Macaca mulatta: one gene and its partners. The protein of the gene in region 5 interacts with the protein of the main gene of each other region in a biochemical or structural test. Links are inferred from orthologs where the notes say so. Each region holds a gene or a part of one and is shown on either strand. Other genes may lie near its edges. The genes, in order: GDA, FRMPD4, KCNA4, ABCC4, SNTA1, SLC6A3 and SCN4A.

Region 1 (3,500 bases), on a different chromosome or scaffold from region 5:
TTTAAGCACTTTTCTACAATCTTAAAGATGAAATCAAAATGGAAAGCAGGGGCTATTTAGAAGCACTACACAAACACTGACAGTAAGCCCCTTCCTCAGTGTCGGGCCTAAACCAGGAAGTATGTGGCTTATGTGGGGAGAAGCTTTTAATGAATGAGAAATTGCAGCTTCAGATTGGACTGTGTTAAAGTAAACTAAATGTGGCCTGAGCACGCTTCTCAACTACTTAGTATATCAACTCACTGAAAGCCTAATTAGTAATATGCTTTTGTAACAAATAGCTGAGTCTCAGCCAGTCACAGCAGCTGAGCTCTAGCCAGTCACAGGTGCCAAGTGATCAGAACAAGTTTGAATAAGGCAAACCCAGAGCTGTAACAATCAAGCTGGTGCTGTACCTCACTTCCATTTTCTGTCTTAAATGCTGCCTGCCCACATTGCTGGGCAGAGTTCTCTGAACCTTTCCTGGTTCTGAGAGCTGCCTGATTCTGGAATCGTTCTTTGCTGAATTTACTCTGTTAAATTTAATTTGTGTGAAGTTTTTCTTTCAACAACTAGAATGAACTGAAAACACTAGAAAGTTCAGGAACTGCCCTAATTACAGTAAAGGGACCGGACAGGGAGACCCCTGAGAAAGGGAAGAAGGAAGGGAGGAAGGAAACCCAAAGCTACTCCTGTTTATTCCCACTGAACTCAGCCCATTGAGTAGGCTATGTGGCTAGTTAACACATCTCAACACCCTTAAACAGATGTCAGTCATACCCTCAGTGCCTCCAACTTAAAAGTTTGTGGGCCCACATTCATTCATTCTCAGACACATAAGAAACATAGGAGATGTGCTCTCCAATTTTTTTTTTTTTTTTTTTTTTTTTTTTTTTGGAGACAGAGTCTTGCTCTGTCACCCAGGCTGGAGTGCAGTGGCCTGATCTTGGCTCATTGCAACCTCCTCCTCCTGAGTTCAAGCGATTCTCATGCCTCAGCCTCCTGAGTAGCTGAGCTTACAGGTGCATGCCACCATGCCCAGCTAATTTTTGAATTTTTAGTAGAGACGGGGTTTCACCATGTTGGCCAGGCTGGTCTTGAACTCCTGACCTCAGGTGATCCGCCCACCTTGGTGTCCCAAAGTGCCAGGATTACAGGCCTGACATCAAATACTTAAACCACCACCACACTTGGCCTGACATCAAATACTTGAACAAATCTCTGATGTCAGAAATAATTTATATGGAGTATTGCCCGAAAAATATATAGTCCTTGATACTCTATCTCTCTAAACATGAAAGAATGATCTATCTGGACTTTTTGGTAGTATAGCATCTTTACGATATATATTTTGACAGCATAGTGTCTATCCATACTAAGGAATACTGAGATTAATTTTCTTGAGTTTCAGTATGAAGCATAGATATGCTTTACCTTAACAAATGTGTTTTTTAATCATAAAAGCAGAGTAAATTTCGTAACTGATTTCCCTCTTTGGGTCAGGTTCTAGAAATGTAAAGCCAAATTCATGACAAACTAACAAATGCATGGACCCCCACAGTAGACAATGATTACTTGGTTTTATTTTACTTTTCCCTCCCCCTTGTTTTCTTCTCCTTTATTACATGACTCATTTTCTTTTGTTGTATATTACGTAATTTTCAGCTATCTCACATTCTTTTAGAACAATGTGAGGTATAAATAAATTTTGAGAATAAAGATTTGGTGTGGTTAACACCATTCATTAACACAATGCGCCAGCTACTTTATACACAGCTTTAGTCCTTCTCAGCTTTTCTAGTGTCATGTGGTGCATGCTAAATGTGTAAGATCCACAATTGCACTGAATTTATAATTATGTGAGGCAAGTATATAAATGCTAGCACTTGCTTGGCCAGGCGCGGCAGCTCAAGCCTGTAATCCCAACAATTTGGGAGGCCGAGGCCGGTGGATCTTGAGGTCAAGAGTTCAAGACCAGCCTGACCTATATGGTGAAACCCTGTCTCTACTAAAAATACAAAAATTAGCCGGGCATGGTGGCAGGTGCCTGTAATCTCAGCTACTTGGGAGACTGAGGCAGGAGATTGCTTGAACCTGGGCGGCAGAGGTTGCAGTGAGCCGAGATCATACCACTGCATTCCAGCCTGGGTGACAGAGTGAGACTCTGTCTTAACAAAAAAAAAAAGTTAGCACTTGCTTTTACTCTTTAAGGCTGGAATGATGCAAGACCAAAAAAACTGGCAAGATGGTTAGGTCAGTAGATGTGGAAGGCTTATAATACTGCCACCACCACATGTAGTGAACACCTTAGGAGGAATCAATGGGTCCGACAAAAATCCATGAGTGTTCAGACCAAGTGCGCTGAACACCCAAGACATAACGGTCAGATAAGGCGGCATTTCCGCTTTCGCTCCTTTACTGCAGAAACTGTTCCTGATTCCTGAGTGGATTCTGGTTCTGGGCATAGGATTGGAGTACAAAGAAAGGAACTGATTTTCCTGAAAGAGGAGAAGGAAGGACACTTTCAGAGCCTTCAACATATGGCTGGCACACACTACTGCCACTGTTCAATGACTGTACTAGCCCCAGAGTTCCCTCTAGTGGTGTCAGTGCTCAAGTCACATTACCAAGTGCCTCCTTGCAAAGCTCCCAGAGTAACACAATATCCCTTCTAACAGTAATTTAAATTTTTAATTTTAAATTTCCTTGGCTATTTTTAAAGCAAACAAATAGAGCTCTTACCATGTGCCAGACACTATTCTAAGAATTTTACAAATATTAACTTGCTTAATTATCACGAGAATCCTGTGAAATAGGTACTATCATGATCTCTATTTTTTACAGATGGGAAAAGTGAGTCACATAACTCTGCAAAGGTCACATAACAAATCCATATGGTCCTCAGAACAGCATTATGGATTGGCAGGAGTAGGGAACCACACATATTCAGTAAACCCAAATTTGGTAAAGTAAAACACAGGAAGTAAAAGAGTAACGTAAACCCACCAGATTGGGGTTTTGGAAACTTGGATTCAAATTCTCTCTTTTCCACTGACTAGCTATGTAGGTAAAGTGGTCACAAACTCACTGGACTGTTAAAAAAAAAACTTAAAAATTCTCTGTGGCCCATCTTAGGCTTAACTGCCTATGCTTTATAATTTATATCTGTCCTAGGAAACTGATACTCCTATAGATGACCAAACAGAATATCATACTCACACACAAGATACTTACGACAACTCTGGTATATACTTCTTCCGCAAAGTCAATGTTCTGGAATCTGTGTTCTGCAGGAAATGTGTACTTGGTCAGCCACTCCAAGAGTGACAGGTCTACGTTACTTCCAGAAAAGGAATACTGAGAGGCATGGATGTGTGTATCAACCAGCCCAGGCATGAAGAACTCACTGGAAATTAAGATGAGAAGAAAAGTGTTTAATAATATCTATCTTCATTTTCCGTATTTTTTAAATCACATTTTTTCCTAAGCATGATTTCACTGTTCACCCCACGCAGGTTTAT
Region 2 (4,077 bases), on a different chromosome or scaffold from region 5:
GCCTCTAAACCAAGAGAATTTTAAGCACTCAAGTAACCATGCTGATCAAAGCTAAATCCTTTAGGAAGATTATCCATTCTGAAATCAGGAAAATCCTGCAGTATAAGCACTTTTATACTTCACCTTTGAGAAAAGAACTTGATTTCTGTAACAGTGTTTAAAACGCATACAAGACTTTCTTCCTCCCAAGGCAGAAACAAGCAACTGCAAACATGTGTTTTTACGTGCTGATGACCCTCTAAAGGTATTTCTATCTCAGCTTGGGGACCATCCTTGAGCTCACACTAAGGAAAAAGAAGAATTATATGGATGGAAGATTTCTTAATCGGCACATCAGCTCAGAACATTTGCACCTTCTGTCTTTAGAATAAACACTCTACTGGATCACATTAAGGATAGAAAGTGAAACTCACATTCATTTACTAAATTTTAAACTCTTTTAAATAAGATACCACTCTCCCCACAACCTTGCTTGAGTTTTGCAAAAACTCAGATTTGTGAATATCATGTAGGCATCCTAGAATTTAGTAAAAAGAATATGAAACATCTTTTCACTGACACATGACACTGTGCTCTCCGAAGTTCCTAAGTTTAAGGACTAAACCAAGGCTCTAGATGTTTTGTTAAACTGTTTTTAGCATCTGAGGCCACAAAAAAGTATCCTGGTTACTTTGAACTATACTATTGGTTGAACTTCCCTTTCCCTTTAGCAGTAGCTCTGTCCATCACACAGAGGGTTCCACTCAGTCTCTAAACTTGCCCACAGCTGCTTCCCAACCATGGTTCATTATTTGACAGCTGTTTAGAAACTAGCCCTAGGCAGAAGCATGCAGGAAGTTAATAGAATAGTGGTGTGAAGCAATGGCCCTCTATGAGATCAGCTTGAAAGCAAATAATTTGCCACACCACAATCATCCACTGCTTAACACATCAGTCTTCCAATCTGTAGGACAACACCTCTTCCTGAGCTGCTCTAAGACCTATCAACGGTGTATCTCCAGTCTACTTAGAGTAAGTTGCACTGGGCCTTTCTCCCTGGGGAAATCTGCTAGTGGCATGAAGACCGGCCCATATTAGTAGAAAGGGAAGGTGGAGATGGGCAGGCAGAACAAAGACTGTAGATGTCAGAGAGAATGGCAACATCCAAACATAACCTTTCTGAAGTGGTCTAAATGTAATTTAACAAAGCAAAGTCAACATACGTTTCTACCTCGGACGATTGGAAGCTGCTCATCCCTGCCTGATGCAATCAACACATCTCACTCTGACACTCAGGACTGAAGGAAAACCTGGGATTGTTCTGTCCATATTGCAAGTAAGTTTTTAAGCTACATCCTGGAAAAACCCAACTGTCTACCTCCTACGTCCTGGTGGTAGCTGCTATAAAGAGCTCCAGGGGCAGAGAAGGTTGGGCATGGTTTTCTAAGACTGCTCCTATCGGGCTCTTCCCAGTTAATGTCACATAGCAAGAAGCACAGACCTTACTCTGTGGCTCAAATGAACACTTTGGAAGCATAAGCAGGCAGAAGACCTCGAGGAGTGCTCTGGCCAGGCAACACCTAGGCGGCCCAAGCGTGGAAATGTTCCTCCTTTATCAGTACTACGCAAAAATATCCGAATCGATGATTTAGTTTTAGCTACTGTTTTAACAACATGGCCACTTAGAAGAAAATTTCTAAATCTTTCGAGGCTTAAGAATATAGTCACACACACACACAAAGAAAAAGGCTGAAAGTCTTTCTCTTCTATCTCCATGACCTCATCATTTAGGTTACCATTGGGAGCACCTGGTCAACCTAGGCGCTAACTCTGTGGAGGTGTGGAGGTGTAATTTAGGAGTGGGGGGAAGGCGGCACTTTTGGTCTCTGCAGCTTGGAAGGCAGGCACCTAAGCTCCAAGCACTTCTGGGTTTCCCTAGCAGTAGCAATTACAACCACCTTCTCTTAGCCCTGAATGATACATGGGACCCCAAGCACCAGTGGGGCTTTTCCTTAGGGAAAACAAATGGTTGTGAATATCGGTGTGTTGGTGAGGGCATGTATGTACCTCTCTGTGTGTGGTCTACACCCGTGGCTACACAAGCCTCAGCAGCCAGTGAGAAATAAGTTGAATGTGTCAGCCCCCGGCCACTTCGTTTCAGTCTTAAGCCCCGTCGCGCTTTCCGGCTTTTGCCTCTACCCAGCCTCCCGAAAAATAAGGCACCAAGTTGCCCGCAGCAGCGGCCCTAGGTGCAAACGGAACCCGCGCAGCCCCTACCTCGAAAGCTTTGCAATCTTCACAAAGCTGAAGACATCCATGCAGGCAGCTGGGGACCCCCGAGCGCGACAACTCCGTCGCCCCTTCTCACGCCAGCAACAACAGCAGCCTCCGCAGCCCCATGGCCAAGACCTCAGTGCGCCCAGGGCTCCAGTCGCGGCGACAGCGGGTGGCGGCGGGGGCCGGAGAGAACCTGCACCTGGAGGCGGCGGCTGCTACCACCCTCCGGCCGCGAGCTGCGTGTGCATCCCCGAGCAGGACCATTGATGAGCACCCGCGGCAGGAAAACTCAATGGAGAGGGAGCCAGGCAGGGCGCAAGAGGCGGGGGCTGGGAGCGCGGCCCGGGTCTCGCGCCCCGCCCCGTGCGCTCTGGCCCCGGGTACTGCCGGGCGTCTAGAGAAAGCGAGGCCCGGGCGAGAGGCGCTGCTCTGGCTTCCCGGCCCTCGGACCCCAGTGCCCCGCGCACCAAGGAGCGCAGACGGAGCCGGGAAACGGGAGACAGCAGGCGAGCTGGGCACACGCGCACGCACCCCTCGCAGCACTGCAGCTGCCTCCCTGCCTCCTTCTCCAAGCCGAGTCCCTGCTCCTCTCCCCACCCCCACCAGCCCAGGGGGAGGGGGCACTCTCCTGTCACCCACTGCGTGTGCCTCCAGATCTGAAGGATCTGGTCTAACAGTCTATGGCACACTGGAGAACTGTGAACGCTAACCCTCCCTCCCCAAGCCGAAGGAGAACCGTGCAACCGCAGGTTGCCCAAAGCCTCGGTTTGCTCCGTAAACAAAACTAGCGATCGGAAGGAGCAGGGATGATAGAGGCTGGGTCGTTTGTCAAGGGGAAGGGAAGGGAGATGCCCGGCGCAGCGGGCTCGATTGGGGGAGCGCAGAGTTCCCACTGCTTCTCCCGAACCGCTGGGGCGAGACGTGACCACTGGGCTGGCTGGGAAGGTGTGTCTTTGGACAGCAGCACCGCGGGAGTGTCGGCCAAATAAGAACCGGAGGCATTTGCGGGTAGGGGGATGAACACAGCTGCTCCCTCCTCCAGGAGCATAGAGCAGAAGGTCCCAGGAGCCTGTGATGCAGAGGCTAATTCTAACCGGGCTCGGAATCTAAGGGAAGAGAAGGATTAGAATGGGGTCTGGCACGCAGAGCGAGCTGCTTTTGCAAACTGAGCGGTGGGAGAAGGGAACAAGGAAGAAAAAAAAAAAACAAAACAAAACCTAACAAAACCTTGCCTGAGAAGCAAAAACACAGAAACATAAACACTCACCTTAGGCAGAGTAAACTCCAAGTTGCAGCCATCTAGAACTCCTCCTAGCCTTCTCTTTTACATGATTACCTTGGATAATCAGCCCTGTTCATTAACTCAGTTCTACCTCCTGGGAAGCTCAGGCTTCATTGGGCCCCTTTTTCTTCTTCCTCTTGGAGTCTCAAGGCCTCTTGTCCACAATCCTTTAAAATTTCCCCCCAGACTGTGAAGGTCAGCTGGCCGCACTAAGTGTGTGCTCTCCCACCAGCAGCGTTCACCTGGCGGCAGGGCCACTGCAAAGAACAGAGAGCACCCCCAGAAATGTTGGAAGATCCAGCCAGTGTTCCAGTCTAGCTCTCCGAGGGGATTAAGTAAGAAATGGGTTTAAAGTTCCCACACTTCTGCTCCTCTCCTGGTCTGTTGTTATATTTAAAGTCTTCAGTATTCAAGCCTAGTACTAACGCGTTTTTTTTTAAGCATTTATTTCAAAAACTGAACATAAAATAAATAGCAATCTGCAAAATCTAACTGACTTAAAACTCAGGCATAAAATTATATTTTTTTGAATACATACT
Region 3 (2,487 bases), on a different chromosome or scaffold from region 5:
AGGTGACTGAAGTGCATTCAAGTGGTGCTGCCTGCATAAAGAATAAGAATACTGTTGTTGTTGTTTTTTTCTTTTTTCCGACTTCCCCAATCCTGAGTCAAGATAGAGAGGAGTGGAAGGGCACTTAATTCAGAAACACTTTATGAGTGGAAATTTTAAAAATTGCCTTGAAATAGATGAATGATGGAAGCAGCTGTAAAGTCACAGCATTATTTTTGTGAAATGAAGAGAGTGACAGTGAGAATTAAGACCTGGCATTGGTGAAGGGGAAGATAGAAGCAAGAGCCATGTGAGCCATGAGTGGAGAGAGGAAAAATAATTGAGTTACCATAAAAATAAACTGAGCTGAAATAATATCTGAAGAAGAAGGAAAGAATGATGTTTAGTGAGTGAGAATAGTGTGCCCCATACTCTTGAAAATGTATGGGTGTTTGGTGTGTTATGTGACTTTCTTGAAGAAAGAGAAGGATGTGTATATGAAGAGAAATGCTCACTTTGCTCTTTATGATTTGTTTCCCTTTTACTTTTCTCCTATGCTTGTTTCCAATCCTTTTTCAGGTGAAGTGCTGCTTCTGCATGATTTTGGCTGAAGAATGCTCTGCATTTCCTTGATTTCTATGGAGACCTCAGAGCTGGTTTTGCTTCTGCTGACACCTCATCTAGCACCTTCTCTACCTCCCAGGGTCTTTGCCTCTATCTATGGTTTGGCATCGTACCTGGGTCCAGGAAGCCTTTGATGAACTTAAAAGGAGAGCCTGCAGAATCGTCCTGATAGACTTTGAGTAGAAATGGCTGGACATACTTCAAACCACATCTTATTATGGTTCGAGCCATCACTAGAAGGCAAGTGCTAACAGTAAAGGCTTATTTGCATTTTATTTAAATTTAATGGACTGAGCATTGGCCAATTTCCATGGCAGAAAAATGTATTTCATTTTCTAGGCACAACTTCTGGCTGTCAGACACTTGCTGCCTTTGAATCTTGCAGCATCATCACTAACCACATCCCAGACATATTTCCAAATCTCAACATCTACCCCCAAAACATAGGTGTCTGAGACACTCCAGCATTTTCAGACTTCTTAGTCTTGAGAGTGCTAGGCTATTTATCTCGACCAGCCAAGCTCTGGAGAGCAATGTTGAATCCCTGAGAAGAGGGAGCATGGGGCGTGCTGATTTAAAAACAGAAAATGCAAAGTTGGACTGAAAATATCCTTAGTCTTCCAAGCAATCTGCTTAAGGGTTCCAAACTTACCTTAATTTGGTGAGAAAAGAAGCTGCCCTATTTTTCTTTCTTCTTCTTCTACAACTGGAACCAGCCATTTCCGAAAACCACCACCATGGAGGTTGCAATGGTGAGTGCGGAGAGCTCAGGGTGCAACAGTCACATGCCTTATGGTTATGCTGCCCAGGCCAGGGCCCGGGAGCGGGAGAGGCTTGCTCACTCCAGGGCAGCTGCAGCAGCTGCTGTTGCAGCGGCCACAGCTGCTGTTGAAGGTAGCGGGGGTTCTGGTGGCTCCCACCACCACCACCAGTCACGTGGGGCCTGCACCTCCCATGACCCTCAGAGCAGCCGGGGTAGCCGGAGGAGGAGGCGACAGCGGCTTGAGAAGAAGAAAGCCCACCAACGGCAGAGCAGCTTCTCTCATTGCTCTGACCTGATGCCCAGTGGTTCTGAGGAGAAGATCCTGAGGGAGCTGAGTGAGGAGGAGGAAGACGAGGAGGAGGAGGAGGAGGAAGAAGAGGAGGGAAGGTTTTACTATAGTGAAGATGACCACGGGGATGAGTGTTCCTACACGGACCTGCTGCCTCAGGATGAGGGCGGTGGTGGCTACAGTTCAGTCCGCTACAGTGACTGTTGTGAACGGGTGGTGATAAATGTGTCAGGCCTACGCTTTGAGACCCAGATGAAAACTCTGGCCCAGTTTCCAGAGACTTTGTTGGGAGACCCTGAAAAGAGGACTCAGTACTTTGACCCTTTGCGCAATGAGTATTTTTTTGATAGGAACCGCCCCAGCTTTGATGCCATCTTATATTATTACCAATCAGGAGGCCGCCTGAAGAGGCCAGTCAATGTCCCCTTTGATATCTTCACTGAGGAGGTGAAGTTCTATCAATTGGGGGAGGAGGCCCTGTTGAAGTTTCGGGAGGACGAGGGCTTTGTGAGAGAGGAGGAGGACAGGGCCCTCCCTGAGAATGAATTTAAAAAGCAGATTTGGCTCCTCTTTGAATATCCAGAGAGCTCCAGTCCTGCAAGGGGCATAGCCATTGTATCTGTCCTGGTCATCTTAATCTCCATTGTCATCTTTTGCCTGGAAACCTTGCCTGAGTTTAGGGACGACCGGGATCTCGTCATGGCACTGAGTGCTGGTGGGCACGGTGGGTTGTTGAATGACACTTCAGCACCCCACCCAGAGAACTCAGGGCACACAATATTCAATGACCCCTTCTTCATCGTGGAAACAGTCTGTATTGTATGGTTTTCCT
Region 4 (3,500 bases), on a different chromosome or scaffold from region 5:
CATCTCAAAAAAAAAAAAAAAATGTTTTTCTGGCTTTGGATTAAATATTTGATTAGTTGTTGCATTCCAGCACCTGGTACTTCTTATGATTTTCTGGGTAGTTCCTGGCCACCTCTCACCTTTGCACCTTTTTGTTGTTGTCATTGCCCAGGATGGTCTCAAACTCTTGGGTTCAAACAATTCATCCACCTCAGCTCCCAACATGCTGGGATTGCAGGCGTGAGCCACTTTGTGTGACTGACATCACTGCTTTTTTAAAAACCTGTACTCTCTTCTAGGAAGGAGATTTCCAAGATTCTGAGAAGTTCCTACCTCAGAGGGATGAATTTGGCCTCATTTTTCAGTGCAAGCAAAATCATCGTGTTTGTGACTTTCACCACCTACGTGCTCCTCGGCAACGTGATCACAGCCAGCCGCGTATTCGTGGCCGTGACACTGTATGGGGCTGTGCGGCTGACGGTCACCCTCTTCTTCCCCGCAGCCATTGAGAAGGTGTCAGAGGCAATCATCAGCATCCGAAGAATCCAGGTTGGTGTCAGATGCCATTTTAAAGTTGTAGGTGCATTCGAGGTGAAATGATATCTCCTTTTATTTAGCATCACTATGTTCCAGTGTAATGACATTTAACTCTTTCATAACCAAAACGTGCTGCCATTCCACAATGTTGTGTGTACTTCCTTATCTTAGATAGAGCGCACTAAAGACAATGCAAGCATTGTGATCATTTATTGGCAGCAACCTAAACAGCAGTGGCACAGGGCTTTTGATGTGCAGGTGGTAACGGCAGGTGTGATTAAAATGTTTAAGCTGTCTAAAAGGAGGAAAAGCAAATAGATTTCATCTGTTACGTTAACGCAAGTGAGAAAGTAGCGAGTATGGGTTGAGTATGGTTCTTCTGTGGGCTGGAAGGAAAGAGCTTGCTGAGGTCCCTGCTTCTTGGTCAGGAAGAATGGCCTCAACTTCACTTAGCTATCCCTGTTTGAAAATAAGTTCTTTCCTCTGTAGATGTTTTCCTTGTTAATTTTTGTGCATGCCTTTAGGATCTCTGCCGTTTCTTTCCTATCCTCTTTTCACTTTTTTCTTACTGTTGATGAACCTAACTCTACCAGACTTCTTTCTTTCCAATCGGTTGATTTCTGCTTACTGCCTTGCTCCGTTTGTACTATTGTAACAAAATACCTGAGACTTGCTAATTTATACATGTTAGACATTTATTTCTCACGGTTCCGGAGGCTGGGAAGTCCAAGATTAAGGCTCTGGCATTGGTGTCTGGTCTGGTGAGGACCATTCTCTGCTTCCCAGATGGACCTCTGTGTCCTCACATTGTGGAAGAAACAGAAGGACAAACTGGTTTAGTTCCCTCCAGCCTTCTGTAAGGACACTAATCCCCATCAGGAGGGCTCTGCCGTGGCGACCTAATCACCTCTTAGAGGCCCCACCTCTTAACACTGACCCTGGGGTGAAGTTCCAGCCCATGAATTTAGAGTAGGCATGCCCATTCAAATCATAGCATCCACTTTACACACCATCACCTTTTCCTCAGTAGCTGTCACTAAATTGCCAGGGGCAAATAATTTATATCACCAAGGTAAGGTCCTGTCACATAATGTATGCACAAGTATTTGTGTGTTTATGAATAAGTTGAAAATTAAAATAAATTGGCTTTGTGAGAGGGCTTGGCAAGACCTTGACTGTCTAAGCTTTTCAAAAATCTGCTTTGTTTTATTCCTGGTTCTTAATAGAGATGGATGCCCAGGGCCAGACTCGAGTGAACTTAGCTGACACTGGCTGTGATTATTTTTTATTTTTATTTTTTTGGTTGGGGAGAGAGTGGGGTGGGTATTATCATAAAAGCTAAGATTCTTTTTTATGATGAAGTTTGTTTTTTAAAGAAGAGATCTTGCTGTGTTACCTAGGCTGGAGCATAGTGGCTATTCATAGGCAGACTCCCACTACTGATTAGCAAGTTTGTATTTCGTAAAAAATATTACCTCTAAAACAGACCATACAAGGTCAATTCTTATCCTCATTCTTTCTGACAACAGCTTCAGGTAACACTGTGAAGGGATGGTCCATGCAGGTCAGTAACACTTTTTTCTTACAGCTTTTGCATCTTGAAAGAAATAACTTAGAAATATACTTTGACCAGAGTGTCTTTCTGAGTGTGCAGGACACCTTTTACAGATGGAAGGGCCACATGTGTATTGTGCTGCTGTAATTCTCTGACTGCTGTTGCTGCCCCTCACTGTGATTGCAGGCGCTGGTGTGTGTACTGTAAACCAGGGCTCTTGGAAGCCTTTACATGTTATTTCATGTTATCCTCACAATTGAAGGAGATAAGCATTAGTGTCCCCACTTTACAGAGAATGAAACTGGCTCCTTTAATAGGTTAAGGAGTTTGCCTGTCTTAGAGATGGGAATCTGTTCAGAACCATGATTTCTTAACCATTATTACGTTGCCTGTTGTATTAGTCTGTTTTTATATTGCTATAAAGAACTTCCTGAGACTGGGCAATTTGTAAAGGAAAGAGTTTTAATTGACTCACAGTTCAGCATAGGTGGTGAGACCTCAGGAAACTTACAGTCATGGTGGAAGGGGAAGTAGGCACTTTCTTCACAGGGCGGCAGGAAGGAGAAGTGCAAGCAGGGGAAATGCCAGAGCTTATAAAACCATCAGATCTCATGGGAACTCACTGTCACTAGAACAGCATGGAGGAACTGCCCCCATGATCCAGTTACCTCCACCTGGTCCCACCCTTGACACGTGAGGATTATGGGGATTACAGTTCAAGCTGAGATTTGGGTGGGGACACAGAGCCAAACTGTATCACCTATGTTGCTGCCTTAGTATCCTCTGGTGTGGGATATTTCCTTCAGTGTTCTTTTACTCATCCAGTCTTACTCCAAAAACCTTGAAAGGTTCTCTGTTTCCTGTGGAGTCCTATTTTTGAACCCTAGGTGTAGAGCTTACCTGGCCACATTGTGTGTTTCCCAGCACATGACTCATGTCTGTTTCTGCTTTGGGGTCTTTGGCTCTTTGTGGCTTGAGTGTCCTCCCTTCTGTCCTTGATTTAAGCAAGTGCTACTAAGCCCTCCGGCCAGGTCTCAGGAGCCTGGTGGTACTTTTGTTCCTGCTGAGCAAGGCCAGTATGGTGCAGCTCAGAGATGATGAACACATAATGGGCACCAAATGCTGGATGGACAGAAGCAGCACCCACAGCAAAAGGCTGGGACCCAATACAGACCCAAGGTGGTCCAGGCTGTACCATAAGCCAGAGGAAGGCTGAGTGAGGAAGCAGACTCGAGTTGAACATTCCCAGAACACCGGGCCCTGTTCAAGGGTGTTGTGAGGGTCCTCAGCTCTGGGGAGCTGGATCTTTTTCAGAGTGGACTGGATCGGAGTCTCCGCCTTGTTATGTGTGTGCCTCTGTGCATCTCAAACCCCACTGGACTTGGTCGACCTGCTCTTGTAAGAGAGGGGCCATGTCTGACATTAAATG
Region 5 (2,472 bases):
AGCCAATTTTTGTATTATTAGTAGAGATGGGGTTTTGCCATGTTGGCCAGGCTGGTCTCAAACTTCTGACCTCAGGTGATCCACCCACCTTAACCTCCAAACCCCATTTTCTGTCCCCTCCTGAAGTGCCCTAAAGAAGGAAGCTTGAATGCCCCTGGGGATAAGAGGCTCATTACCAGAGGGACACTCCCAGATCCTCCCAGCACACCTGTAGACACCTCCTGCACACCCTCGGCGGCCCGGTGACAGCCATCCACCAGCTGGCGGGTCCAGGCAGCCAGCTCCTGCGGTGACTCCACGCTGAACAGGTGAGTGTCCACACCGTGACGCGTGCCCGTGCGCAGGGCAAAAGAGAGCTCTGCATCGTAGGGCACTGAGCCCTTGGAGGGGCCTGAGTGCACCAGTCTGGGGGTGAGGGGCAGAGGGCTGAGCATGAGGCCTCGGGCAGGGGGCAAATAGTTCTGGGCAAAGGGGCCAATGACCTGGGAAAAACCCTGTAAATCCTTTACCACCTAACAGGACAGGACTTGCCAGGGGGCACTGATTGACTCAGCAGGAGACATCTCCTGCCACCCTCCCTGTCGCTCCCTTGGCTCCGGCTACACTGGTGTCCTCACACACACCTAGCACACGCCTGCCTCAGCACCTCTGCGTATGCTGTTCCCTCTGCCTATACACGCTTCCCTGATTATCTCCATGGCTCACTCCCTCACTTCCTTCAGATGTTAGTTTAAATGTCACCTCCTCTGAGAAGCTTTCCCTGGCCTGCCAGTCCAAAATAGCACCCTTGTCACTCACTAGCCTTACTTTTTCATCATGGTACCAGAAATTATACTTTTTATTATTTGTTTTTGTTGGTTTTTCACTGTCTTTTTCACTAGGATGTCAGCTAGGTTAGAAATGTTGATCTTGCGTTCACCACTGTATTCCCATTAAGTAAAACTATGCCTGACCACAGTAGAGGCTCAATAAACATTTGTTGCCTGACTTGAATCACTTGATTAGGTAGACAATCCAGGACCTAATTATCCCTAGTAGCCAGCAGGCTCCTGATACATGGGCCAGAGCCAGCCTGAGGTAAGGAGACATGGGTGACAAGGACTTCAGACCCCTGCAGCTTGACTGTCACTTGCTGTGTGGCCTTGGTAAGCCAACTGCCCCTCTCTGGGGCAGACCTAAGAGTTCTGCCCCATATCCCTCTTTGTTCCTCCCTTCACCCACTCTTTCTCCTATAGCTCACTTCCCCCCCAGACTTCTGCTGACGCCAGCCTTCCACTTTCCAGCCCTGAGCTGCAGACCCCTGAGTCCCCAAGCTTCCTATCCAAGCTCCCTCTCCATCCCACACACACTCTGGACTTGACTCAGCATCTTGCTCCAGCCTCCTCCCTTTCCACCCCCACCCCCAGTCCCACGCTCACCCAGACACCAGCTCCAAACCTCCTGTTCATTCCAGACCCCTCCTTCACCCGCCCCATCTGGCAAGCACGGAGCCCTGTTAATTTTACACCCATGTGGTTTCCAATGCCAATGCTGCCTTTCTTCTCCATCTGCTCCTGCCGCCCACTTCCACCTCCCCCAGCCACCATCATCTCTCCTGCACGACTGCAGCGCTTCCCCACTTCCATCCTGCACTCTCCGCTGCATTTTCCACGTGGCAGCCACAGGGATTCTCTTAAAGCAACCAGAGCACCTCGCTCCCCAGCTTAAACCCTTCAACACTGCCAAACTCTTAAGATAAAGCTAACATTCCTTAATCAGACAAAAGAAGCTCTGCAAGATCAGGCCCTGCCAACTCCCTTCTCTCCATTTCCTGCATGAATTCTGGTTGTCACAAACTCATAGCCCCATGAACACGCTATAGCCCTTCATGCCTCTGTACCTTTGACCATGATGTTCTCTCTGCATGGGATGCTCTTTCACCCTTTCTTAAACAGAAAACTTCTACTCATCCATCAAAGTCCAGCTCAGATGTCACCTCCTCCCTGAAGCGTTCCTCAACTACCCCTACAGAGTTAAGTGGCTCCTACAAACTCTGCACTGTAATGGCTGTTCCTGGGTCTGTCTCCCCAATCAGACAAGGTTCTCTCTGGAGGCAGCGACTGTTGGGGTCAGCTCTGTGCCCTCTGACCCATGCAGCATAAGGCATAAGTGTCAATGAATGAGTGGCTAGCGGGGACCTTATGTCCTTTTGTTCCAAGCACCCATTTTACAGATAAGGAAACTGAGGCCCAGACAGGGCAGAGACTTGCTTCAGGTCACCTGGGGAATAGCTGAGGGTGGACAGGGCTGGAGTTTCCAGCTTCTGGGGCCCTGCTGGAGCATCTCCCGGCAAGTTCTGGGGGAGACATACTGCCCCTGCCCATGGGTACCTGGTGGCGATGAGTGGGGCAGTACGGACTGGCCGGCTCAGGGCCTCGCGGGTCTCAGGGAGAGAAGAGTAGAGGAGCAGTTCCTTTTCAGTCAGCAGGGCCA
Region 6 (4,095 bases), on a different chromosome or scaffold from region 5:
GGGAGATACAGGGAGAGAACTGTCTGCAACCCAGAAGCGGCCCTGTCGGCCAGGACTTGGCCTTGGCCTTGGCCTGGGGACACCAGAACTGTTAGAACTAAAGGCTTCTGTGTGAGCCCCCAGGCTGTGGAGTGTTTGTCATAGCAGCCCCAGGGGATCACCAGGTTCCCACTTGATTCCAACTCAGCATGGAGGCACAACCCTGAGTGCCTTCTGCCTGAGTGCCAGCCCCGGGGTGAGGGGTGCCGGGAGTGCGGGGCACTGCGCTGCCGGCGGGTACTGCGGGGTCAGGCACCAAGGGGCCCTGCCTCCCTCACGGCTGAGCGCGGGCTGCAGGCTGGAATGGCTGGAGAGCCCCAGGGCTCGCCTGGACGCCCAGGGCAGGGTGCTCACGGGAGCACGGAGGGTACACGGGGAGGAACGCCGGGGTTTGGGTGACCCTAGGGGCGACACGCAGAGCTGGATGCGGCCACTCACCTCCGTGCCTTCTAAGGAACTGGACATCCTGGGCCTTGGCGGCCCGGGGGCTTCATTCCTCTGCGAGCTGAATGGAAGAAATCCCGCCCGGACATCTCGGAGGGAAAGCCTCGGAGTCCATTCGGCCCTGGAGCCAGATACCAATCGCCAGTGCTTTCAGGCCAGTCCTGGGAAATGGTTTTCTCATGCGACCGCGAGGCGAGCCCCTCGGTTCCGATGTAGGCGCACTAGATGCCGGCAAGGGGAGGACTAGGCTCGGCCGGTCGCCTCGAGGTCGTGGAGACCCCAAAGCCACGGAAGGACCCGCGTCTCCGCAGCCCGCACGCCGGGAAGCGTGGGGAGTCCTCAGCGGGGTCCCGAGCCCGCTGGTCAGGGCGTGGAGAGGCGGGTTGGGAGGGACGTGGTCCCTGGAGCGCGGGGCCACCGCAGGGGCCCCGGACGGGGAGGGAGGGAAGGGTCGGTCCAACGGGGTCCCAGCAGTTCCCCTCGCGCCGCCGCTCGGCTCCCTCCCCGTCCAGCTAGGAGCCTCCAGCCCTGGGCGTCCGAAGATATCGGGTGCCCAGGGCAGCCCCGAGGGGTGCGAGCGAGGGCGCAGGGCGGCCCAGACAGTTCTCGCGCGGAAGGCGCCCGTCTAGATCCGCGACGCCTAGGACCCACAGGTCCCCGCATCCCGTGTCCGAGGCTCCGGGACGCGCAGGACAGCGGAGCGGTGGCCGCCGCTTGCTCCAAGCTATCTGCGTCCAGGGGGCGGGGGCGGGGGCGCGGCCCGGGGAGGTGAGGAGGCGGAGCCAGGACGCCCGGGCGACCCCGACGGCGGGAGGGCGGAGCGGGGCGGACCCTGGCGACTGGATAAGAGCCCGAGGCCGAGGCCGAGACCGCCCAGCGCGGCGGAGCAGGAGGGGAGGCTTCGTGAACCGCGCTCGGCACCAGGACTCGCGTGCAAAGCCCAGGCCCGGGCGGCCAGGTGAGGCCAGGGTCGCTCCCGGCATCGGGGCGCGCCGCTCCCTCCACAGACCCCGAAGTGGGGCGCAGGGGCAGGGCACGGGGGCCGGGCACACTCTGGGGCCCCCGCGTCCCGCAGACCGCGCCGTCTCCAAAGTCGCCAACAGTCGCAGGTGCCGAGCGCCCCCTGATAGCGCCGCAAGGGACCCTGAGGCCGTCCGAGGCGCGAGGAGGGTGCAGGGCTGCCCCCTGGCCCGCCCCAGGCTCAGGATCGCGTGGGCACCTGGTACCGTCACCAGCTTAGGGGACGCATGGGTATCTATGGCTGTGACTCGGGGGTCCTGGTTTCTTCTCGTGGAACTTAACCCTACTAGGGGTGCGGCGCACCCCAGATCCTATCGAAGTGGGTTTTCTACACCGCCGCTCCGTCTCGCGGGGGCTTTGATTTGGGGGTAGTGGCGGGCGCCGGCTGCGCGCTGGCTGGTGCTCTGGGCAGGGCGGGGAGGCAGGGCGAGGGCTCACCAGGCAGGGCCGCTTCTTGTTCTGGGCGCGGCGAGGAAGGGCGCTTTCTAATGGGCCACGTTTGGCTGTGTAGACCCAAAACTCGCCTCTGAGGCCCCGCGTTCAGGAGCGGGGTCAGATGGCCCCAGGGCGGCGGCGGCTTCCCGGAGACTCTCGAGCTCCGCACCTGGCGCCCTCTCCCAACGCGGCCTCCTGCTCGCGCCGCGGAACCCCTTCGGCGGGCGTTTTACCCATAGGACGGGTCGTGAGGGTTGGGGTTGTCACCGGGAGGTACAGAAGCCGCCCAGCAACGGTGCGTGGCGTAGCTCGTGATAGCTCGTGGGTGAGGTTTTGTGCAAACTTGGATGCAGGGAAAGTTGCCTGTTAGAGCCTCTACCTGTGACCTGCTTCAGTCATTGTGTGTGCGCGCCTGTGTGTGTGTGTGTGTGTTTGTGAGTCTGTGTGTATCTGTGTGTCTGTGTGCGCGCGCGCGCGACTGAAACATGCTGCTGTTGGATCCAAATGCCAGAAGTCGCCCTGGTTGGGGAGGTGTAGACGCTCCTGCTCTCCTGCGCTGCGTTGCAGGGGGTTTATGGGGTTTTGGACAGGATTTCCTGGGTTGCCCTGCTGGCCCAGGAGGTGGTTCCCGCGATGAAGCCCTGTCCATCCTCTGCCCAGCTCTCTCAGGTGGGGTGGTGCCACCTGCCCTAGGTGGATGTGGCTTGTACACTCTTTGAGGAAACGATTGTGATGGTTATGTCTAAACTCTCCTTTACAGTGGCTGATTTTGCTTATATAAATTTTGCTCTTTATTACTGAGTATAAACAATACACGGCCAGGCTTGGTGGCTCATGCCTGTCATCTCAGCACTTTGGGAGCCTGAGGCAGGAGGATCGCTTGAGACCAGGAGTTCAAAACCAGCCTTGGCAACAATAGTCAGACCCTGACTCTACAAAAAAAAAAAACAAAAAACAAACAAACAAAACACACACACACACACACACACACACAAATAACTTAGCCAGTGCTGTGGTGCACACCTGTAGTCCCAGCTACTCAAGAGGCTGGAGTGCAAGGAGCACTTGAACCCAGGAGTTTGAGGTTGCAGTGAGTTGTAAGCACACAACTGTATTCCATCCTGGGCGACAGAGCGAGACCTCATCTTAAAAAAAAAGAAAGAAAAAGAAAAAAGAATACAGATGAACAGGCACAAAGACATTATTGAATGCTCTTTGAAGATTGCAAAATTGCTCTCTGGCAGTGTGGGGGAAGGTGGAGGTAATATCCATGCACTGTTATTAGAAAGCCAAGCTAGAGCTCACATAGCATTCCACATTGATAAGAGTGAGGAGGGGTGCAGGGGAAGGAGGGGCACACCAGAGTGTCTGTCTTGATGCCTCCATGGGCCAGTGCCCCAGCCCTGTGGTGAGGGCTGGCACTTCCCAGCTCCTGCACCCCAGCTGTGCCATCTCAGGCCCTGGGAATGCACCCATCCCTTCCCAGAGGAATGCCTATGAATGCCTCGGGGCTCTGCCCTCCATACCAGGCGCGTCCCTAGCCCTGGCTGCTGAATTGTTGCATTCCTGTTGTGTGTTTATTTTTCATATTGGCTGAAGACCAAGAGGAAAGAAGCACAGAATTCCTCAATTCCCGGTGTGCCCATGAGTAAGAGCAAATGCTCTGTGGGACTCATGTCTTCCGTGGTGGCCCCGGCTAAGGAACCCAACGCCATGGGCCCAAAGGAGGTGGAGCTCATCCTTGTCAAGGAGCAGAACGGAGTGCAGCTCACCAGCTCCACCCTCACCAACCCACGGCAGAGCCCCGTGGAGGCCCAGGATCGGGAGACCTGGGGCAAGAAGATCGACTTTCTCCTGTCCGTCATTGGCTTTGCTGTGGACCTGGCCAACGTCTGGCGGTTCCCCTACCTGTGCTACAAAAACGGCGGGGGTAAGTCCCATGTCAGCCTTTCTGAGCACAATGGCCAGGCGGGGGTCATGGGGGCAGCTGGGGCTAGGCCTTTTAGGAAAGGCGTGCACCCGAACAAGATAAAGCTGTTCCCATGCATGAGGATAGAGCTCCCTGTGAGAGCTCACGGCCAGTGCAGATCTTCCCAGAGGACGTCACAAAACCACAGAGCAGGGCTCAGAGCTGCCTGGTCCCATGCCTGCATTTCA
Region 7 (3,500 bases), on a different chromosome or scaffold from region 5:
CCCCTGAGGTCAGGAATTTGAGACCAGCCTGGGTAACATGTTGAAACCCCATCTCTACAAAAAATACAAAGATTAGCCAGGCATGGTGGCACTTGAACTTGGGAGGCGGAGGTTGCAGTGAGCCGAGGTAACGCCACAGCACTCCAGCCTGGAGTCTGGAGGCAACAGAGGGAGACTCCTCCATCTCAAAAAAAAAAAAAAAAAAAAAAAGAACAGTCATGGAGAGAGTCCCTGTGCCCCTGCAGGCCTCCCTAAACCCTGCCTCTGCCCTGGGCAGCAGACTCCTCTCAGAAGCCCAAGACTCAGTTTCCCCAACTGCAGAAGGGATGATAATAAGCATCACCTCCACGGGCAGTTGTGAGCACCTCTTAGGTGGCATTTTAAATGCCCAACATGTGGTCGTTTGGATCTGTAGACCGAGGACCCCTGTGCTGGCTGAAGGTGGCACCCTCTGGGTCCCGGGGACTGATGTGAGGCTCCCCTTGACTCTATGCCCCAGGTCCTGAACCTGTTCCTGGCTCTGCTGCTGAGCTCCTTCAGCGCCGACAGTCTGGCAGCCTCGGATGAGGACGGTGAGATGAACAACCTGCAGATTGCCATCGGGCGCATCAAGTTGGGCATCAGCTTTGCCAAGGCCTTCCTCCTGGGGCTGCTGCATGGCAAGATCCTGAGCCCCAAGGACATCATGCTCAGCCTCGGGGAGCCTGTCGGGGCCGGGGAGGCTGGAGAGGCCGGGGAGACTGCCCCTGTGGATGAGAAGAAGGAGCCGCCCGAGGAGGACCTGAAGAAGGACAGTCACATCCTGAACCACATGAGCCTGGCTGATGACCCACCATCCAGCATCGAGCTGGACCACCTTAACTTCATCAACAACCCCTACCTGACCATACAGGTGCCCATCGCCTCTGAGGAGTCCGACCTGGAGATGCCCACCGAGGAGGAAACAGACACTTTCTCGGAGCCTGAGGATAGCAAGGTGAGCCAGGGCCGGGGCTCAGACAGACCCAGCTTCAAATTCTCCTGTGACCTGGAGCAAGTCCTAAGTCCTCTCTGAGCCTCCGTTTCTCCAGCTGTAAAATGGGGGTGGTGACCTATGGCATTGTTGTGAGCATTACGTGAGACGCTGTATGTAAAGCATGCAGTCAGTGCCCTGTGAGTGGCGGCTGTCACTATGGTTATTGGTGTGGTTTGATGATCAGCCCTGTCTGTCCGGAAACCCTGATTCTCTCGGTTCATGCCTGGACCAGAACAACACCTGGGTCCCTCTCACCAGCAGGTGGTGCCCTTGGACATGCTGCTCTTACCTGGGCACTGCAGCTCCAGGACCAGGACCAGGACCTGAGAGGCCTGTCTTACATGTTATCCTCTGGGCTTGAGGCCCCTTGCCCAGTCCTCACACTTACCCTCTATTTCTGTTTAGACCCCACCTGGGTCTGCTCCCAACTTCCCAGTGTGGGCCAAAGTGCCAGATCCAGGCAGGGGACTCAGGAGAGGAGCCGGGGCCAACGAGAGTTGGGGACAAGGAGGGCAGAAGCCTCGGGCAGGAACCCTGACCCCTCAACCATGCCGGGGGCATGCTGCTGTTCTCAGATGCCCCTCCCCACCCCCCACACTGTGAGGGCGAGGAAGGGAAAGGAACGTAGTGGTGGTCACCCCCAGCAGCTGGGGCTGAGGATGGGACCCTACCTGGGTCTTGAGCCCCCTCCCCCACTGTCCAGCTCTGGCAGGGAAAGGACTTGTATAGGCGCTAGGACGGGCACCCCTGCCCACCCCTACACCATCAGCCTGAGCCTAATGAACTTTGCCCGGAAAGTTTTTGACTCCTTATTCCCCCCAAATATGTGGCACGCTGGCTTACCAGGGGCCGAGTGCCTATGAGCTATAAATACCTAGGCAACTGTGGCACAGACCTCGGTATGAGGCACTCAGGTGGCAGGGGAGCTGGAGAGCACCAAAGTCCCAGGCTCCCCAGGGCCAGGGCCTGGGGACTTGTTCAAGGAGGGCGAGCACAGCTCCAAGGGGGATTTAGGGAGTTGGGTGCACATTCGGGGCAAGCAACTCAGTGGATGCCCTGGCTGACCTAACACTCTGTGCCTCAGTCTCCCTTTTTGTCAACTGAAAACAAGGACCCCCCCGCCACCACCATGGCGGTTTTCTGGTCACCACTCTGGATACAGAGCTGCCCCCCAAGTTGCCCTCTTCTTCCTTCTCTTCAGAAGCCCCACCCTCAGCCTTGAAGGGGTCCCCTGCAGGGTGGAGGCTGGGGCAGGGAAGCTGGCCTGGCCCAGCAGGAGGAGGTGGGAGGAGGCCTGGCCCGGCTGAAGCACCCGCCTCCCCCACTCCCGCTCCCAACACTGATCAGGTTCCCTTGGCATGGGATGGAGGCTTTGGCTGGGGAACATTTTCCACCCTTTCTGGATTCCTCAGCCAAACAGACCCTGGGGGTGGGAAAGCTCAGACGCTAGGGGCACCACACGCCCATGCTCTGAGGGCTGTGGCAGCCTGGCTCCATCCTGACCCCTTTTCATACCCCTGCCCCCTCAGAGCTACCTTCAGGCCCCCCACGCCTCCCAGACCCCCCACTCGGGCCAGGGTCCCCGCCTCCTCCCTCATCTGAGTCCTGCACATGCGTCCTCATGCCCTCACCATTCCTTTCCAGGCATCAGCCCCGCCCCACTCCTTATGTAAGTGCCATGCGGGCATGACCAGGGCCACCTATGTCCCCATGGGTCCTCGACCATCCAGGGCTGGATGAATGAATGAATGAATAAGTTTGCTCCTCCCTCTCTTCTTCCCTTCCCTTCTTGTCTTCCATCCTGCCCCATCTGGTGGGAGAATGAGGGGGTCTCTCAGGGACCCAGATGTCACATGACCCTGTGACCTCTGCAGAAGCCGCCGCAGCCCCTCTATGATGGGAACTCCTCCGTCTGCAGCACAGCTGACTACAAGCCCCCCGAGGAGGACCCTGAGGAGCAGGCAGAGGAGAACCCCGAGGGGGAGCAGCCTGAGGAGTGCTTCACTGAGGGTGAGGGCACCCCCCACCTCGTCTGGGTGTCTCCCCCAGGCCTGTAGCCCTTGCAAGGGGCAGGCTACACCAGGGCCAAAAGCACACGAACCTGGGGCTGCCTGGTCATCCCCGTGCCTCACGCGTCTAGGGGTGGTGGCAGTACATGCCCAGAGCTGTGGTGCAAGATCCATGCAGAGCCCTTGGTGCAGACCTAGCTTGGAGCGAACGTGCAAGAGTGCGGGTGTCAGCTCCTGAGATCCTCCCCTCCATCTTCAGGGAGCAAGGCCTTCAGGACATGGCACTGGAGAAATGTCGTTGTCCATAGAGCTTGCTGGGCTGTGCAGGGTGGAGACTGCCTGGGCGAGGTGGGGAGTGGGGCAGCTGAGAGCACCAGCACCAGGGCTGGGGGCCAGGAGGCCTTTCCTCTGCAAGCCGTTGTCACATGCTGGATCCGGCTGTGGAGGGAGGCCCTGAGCCCCCCATGTCAGCCAGA

Evidence for each region.
Region 1: the proteins of SNTA1 (region 5) and GDA interact in a test that uses a peptide from one of them, tested with the Homo sapiens proteins (2 studies listed by BioGRID and IntAct). The link is inferred for Macaca mulatta from reciprocal best matches to the Homo sapiens genes SNTA1 and GDA.
Region 2: the proteins of SNTA1 (region 5) and FRMPD4 interact in a test that uses a peptide from one of them, tested with the Homo sapiens proteins (2 studies listed by IntAct, with this or other methods). The link is inferred for Macaca mulatta from reciprocal best matches to the Homo sapiens genes SNTA1 and FRMPD4.
Region 3: the proteins of SNTA1 (region 5) and KCNA4 interact in a test that uses a peptide from one of them, tested with the Homo sapiens proteins (2 studies listed by BioGRID and IntAct). The link is inferred for Macaca mulatta from reciprocal best matches to the Homo sapiens genes SNTA1 and KCNA4.
Region 4: the proteins of SNTA1 (region 5) and ABCC4 form a complex in vitro, tested with the Homo sapiens proteins (2 studies listed by BioGRID and IntAct, with this or other methods). The link is inferred for Macaca mulatta from reciprocal best matches to the Homo sapiens genes SNTA1 and ABCC4.
Region 6: the proteins of SNTA1 (region 5) and SLC6A3 interact in a test that uses a peptide from one of them, tested with the Homo sapiens proteins (2 studies listed by BioGRID and IntAct). The link is inferred for Macaca mulatta from reciprocal best matches to the Homo sapiens genes SNTA1 and SLC6A3.
Region 7: the proteins of SNTA1 (region 5) and SCN4A interact in a test that uses a peptide from one of them, tested with the Homo sapiens proteins (2 studies listed by BioGRID and IntAct). The link is inferred for Macaca mulatta from reciprocal best matches to the Homo sapiens genes SNTA1 and SCN4A.

What each region holds. Positions count from the first base shown.
Region 1 is NC_133420.1:103,212,770-103,216,269, reverse strand, and holds part of GDA (guanine deaminase), read right to left. Parts: intron 3,386-3,500; coding exon 3,214-3,385; intron 1-3,213. UniProt on the Homo sapiens protein: Catalyzes the hydrolytic deamination of guanine, producing xanthine and ammonia.
Region 2 is NC_133426.1:11,758,791-11,762,867, reverse strand, and holds the start of FRMPD4 (FERM and PDZ domain-containing protein 4), read right to left. Parts: upstream 2,801-4,077; 5' UTR 2,298-2,800; coding exon 2,257-2,297; intron 1-2,256. UniProt on the Homo sapiens protein: Positive regulator of dendritic spine morphogenesis and density. Required for the maintenance of excitatory synaptic transmission. Binds phosphatidylinositol 4,5-bisphosphate.
Region 3 is NC_133419.1:35,236,975-35,239,461, forward strand, and holds part of KCNA4 (potassium voltage-gated channel subfamily A member 4), read left to right. Parts: intron 1-558; 5' UTR 559-1,340; coding exon 1,341-2,487. UniProt on the Homo sapiens protein: Voltage-gated potassium channel that mediates transmembrane potassium transport in excitable membranes. Forms tetrameric potassium-selective channels through which potassium ions pass in accordance with their electrochemical gradient.
Region 4 is NC_133422.1:89,940,992-89,944,491, reverse strand, and holds part of ABCC4 (ATP-binding cassette sub-family C member 4), read left to right. Parts: intron 1-278; coding exon 279-528; intron 529-3,500. UniProt on the Homo sapiens protein: ATP-dependent transporter of the ATP-binding cassette (ABC) family that actively extrudes physiological compounds and xenobiotics from cells.
Region 5 is NC_133415.1:86,166,954-86,169,425, forward strand, and holds part of SNTA1 (alpha-1-syntrophin), read right to left. Parts: coding exon 2,370-2,472; intron 427-2,369; coding exon of another isoform or gene 406-426; coding exon 209-405; coding exon of another isoform or gene 177-208; intron 1-176. UniProt on the Homo sapiens protein: Adapter protein that binds to and probably organizes the subcellular localization of a variety of membrane proteins. May link various receptors to the actin cytoskeleton and the extracellular matrix via the dystrophin glycoprotein complex.
Region 6 is NC_133411.1:2,557,005-2,561,099, reverse strand, and holds the start of SLC6A3 (sodium-dependent dopamine transporter), read left to right. Parts: upstream 1-1,295; 5' UTR 1,296-1,441; intron 1,442-3,537; 5' UTR 3,538-3,582; coding exon 3,583-3,868; intron 3,869-4,095. UniProt on the Homo sapiens protein: Mediates sodium- and chloride-dependent transport of dopamine. Also mediates sodium- and chloride-dependent transport of norepinephrine (also known as noradrenaline). Regulator of light-dependent retinal hyaloid vessel regression, downstream of OPN5 signaling.
Region 7 is NC_133421.1:73,858,637-73,862,136, reverse strand, and holds part of SCN4A (sodium channel protein type 4 subunit alpha), read left to right. Parts: intron 1-499; coding exon 500-976; intron 977-2,889; coding exon 2,890-3,025; intron 3,026-3,500. UniProt on the Homo sapiens protein: Pore-forming subunit of Nav1.4, a voltage-gated sodium (Nav) channel that directly mediates the depolarizing phase of action potentials in excitable membranes.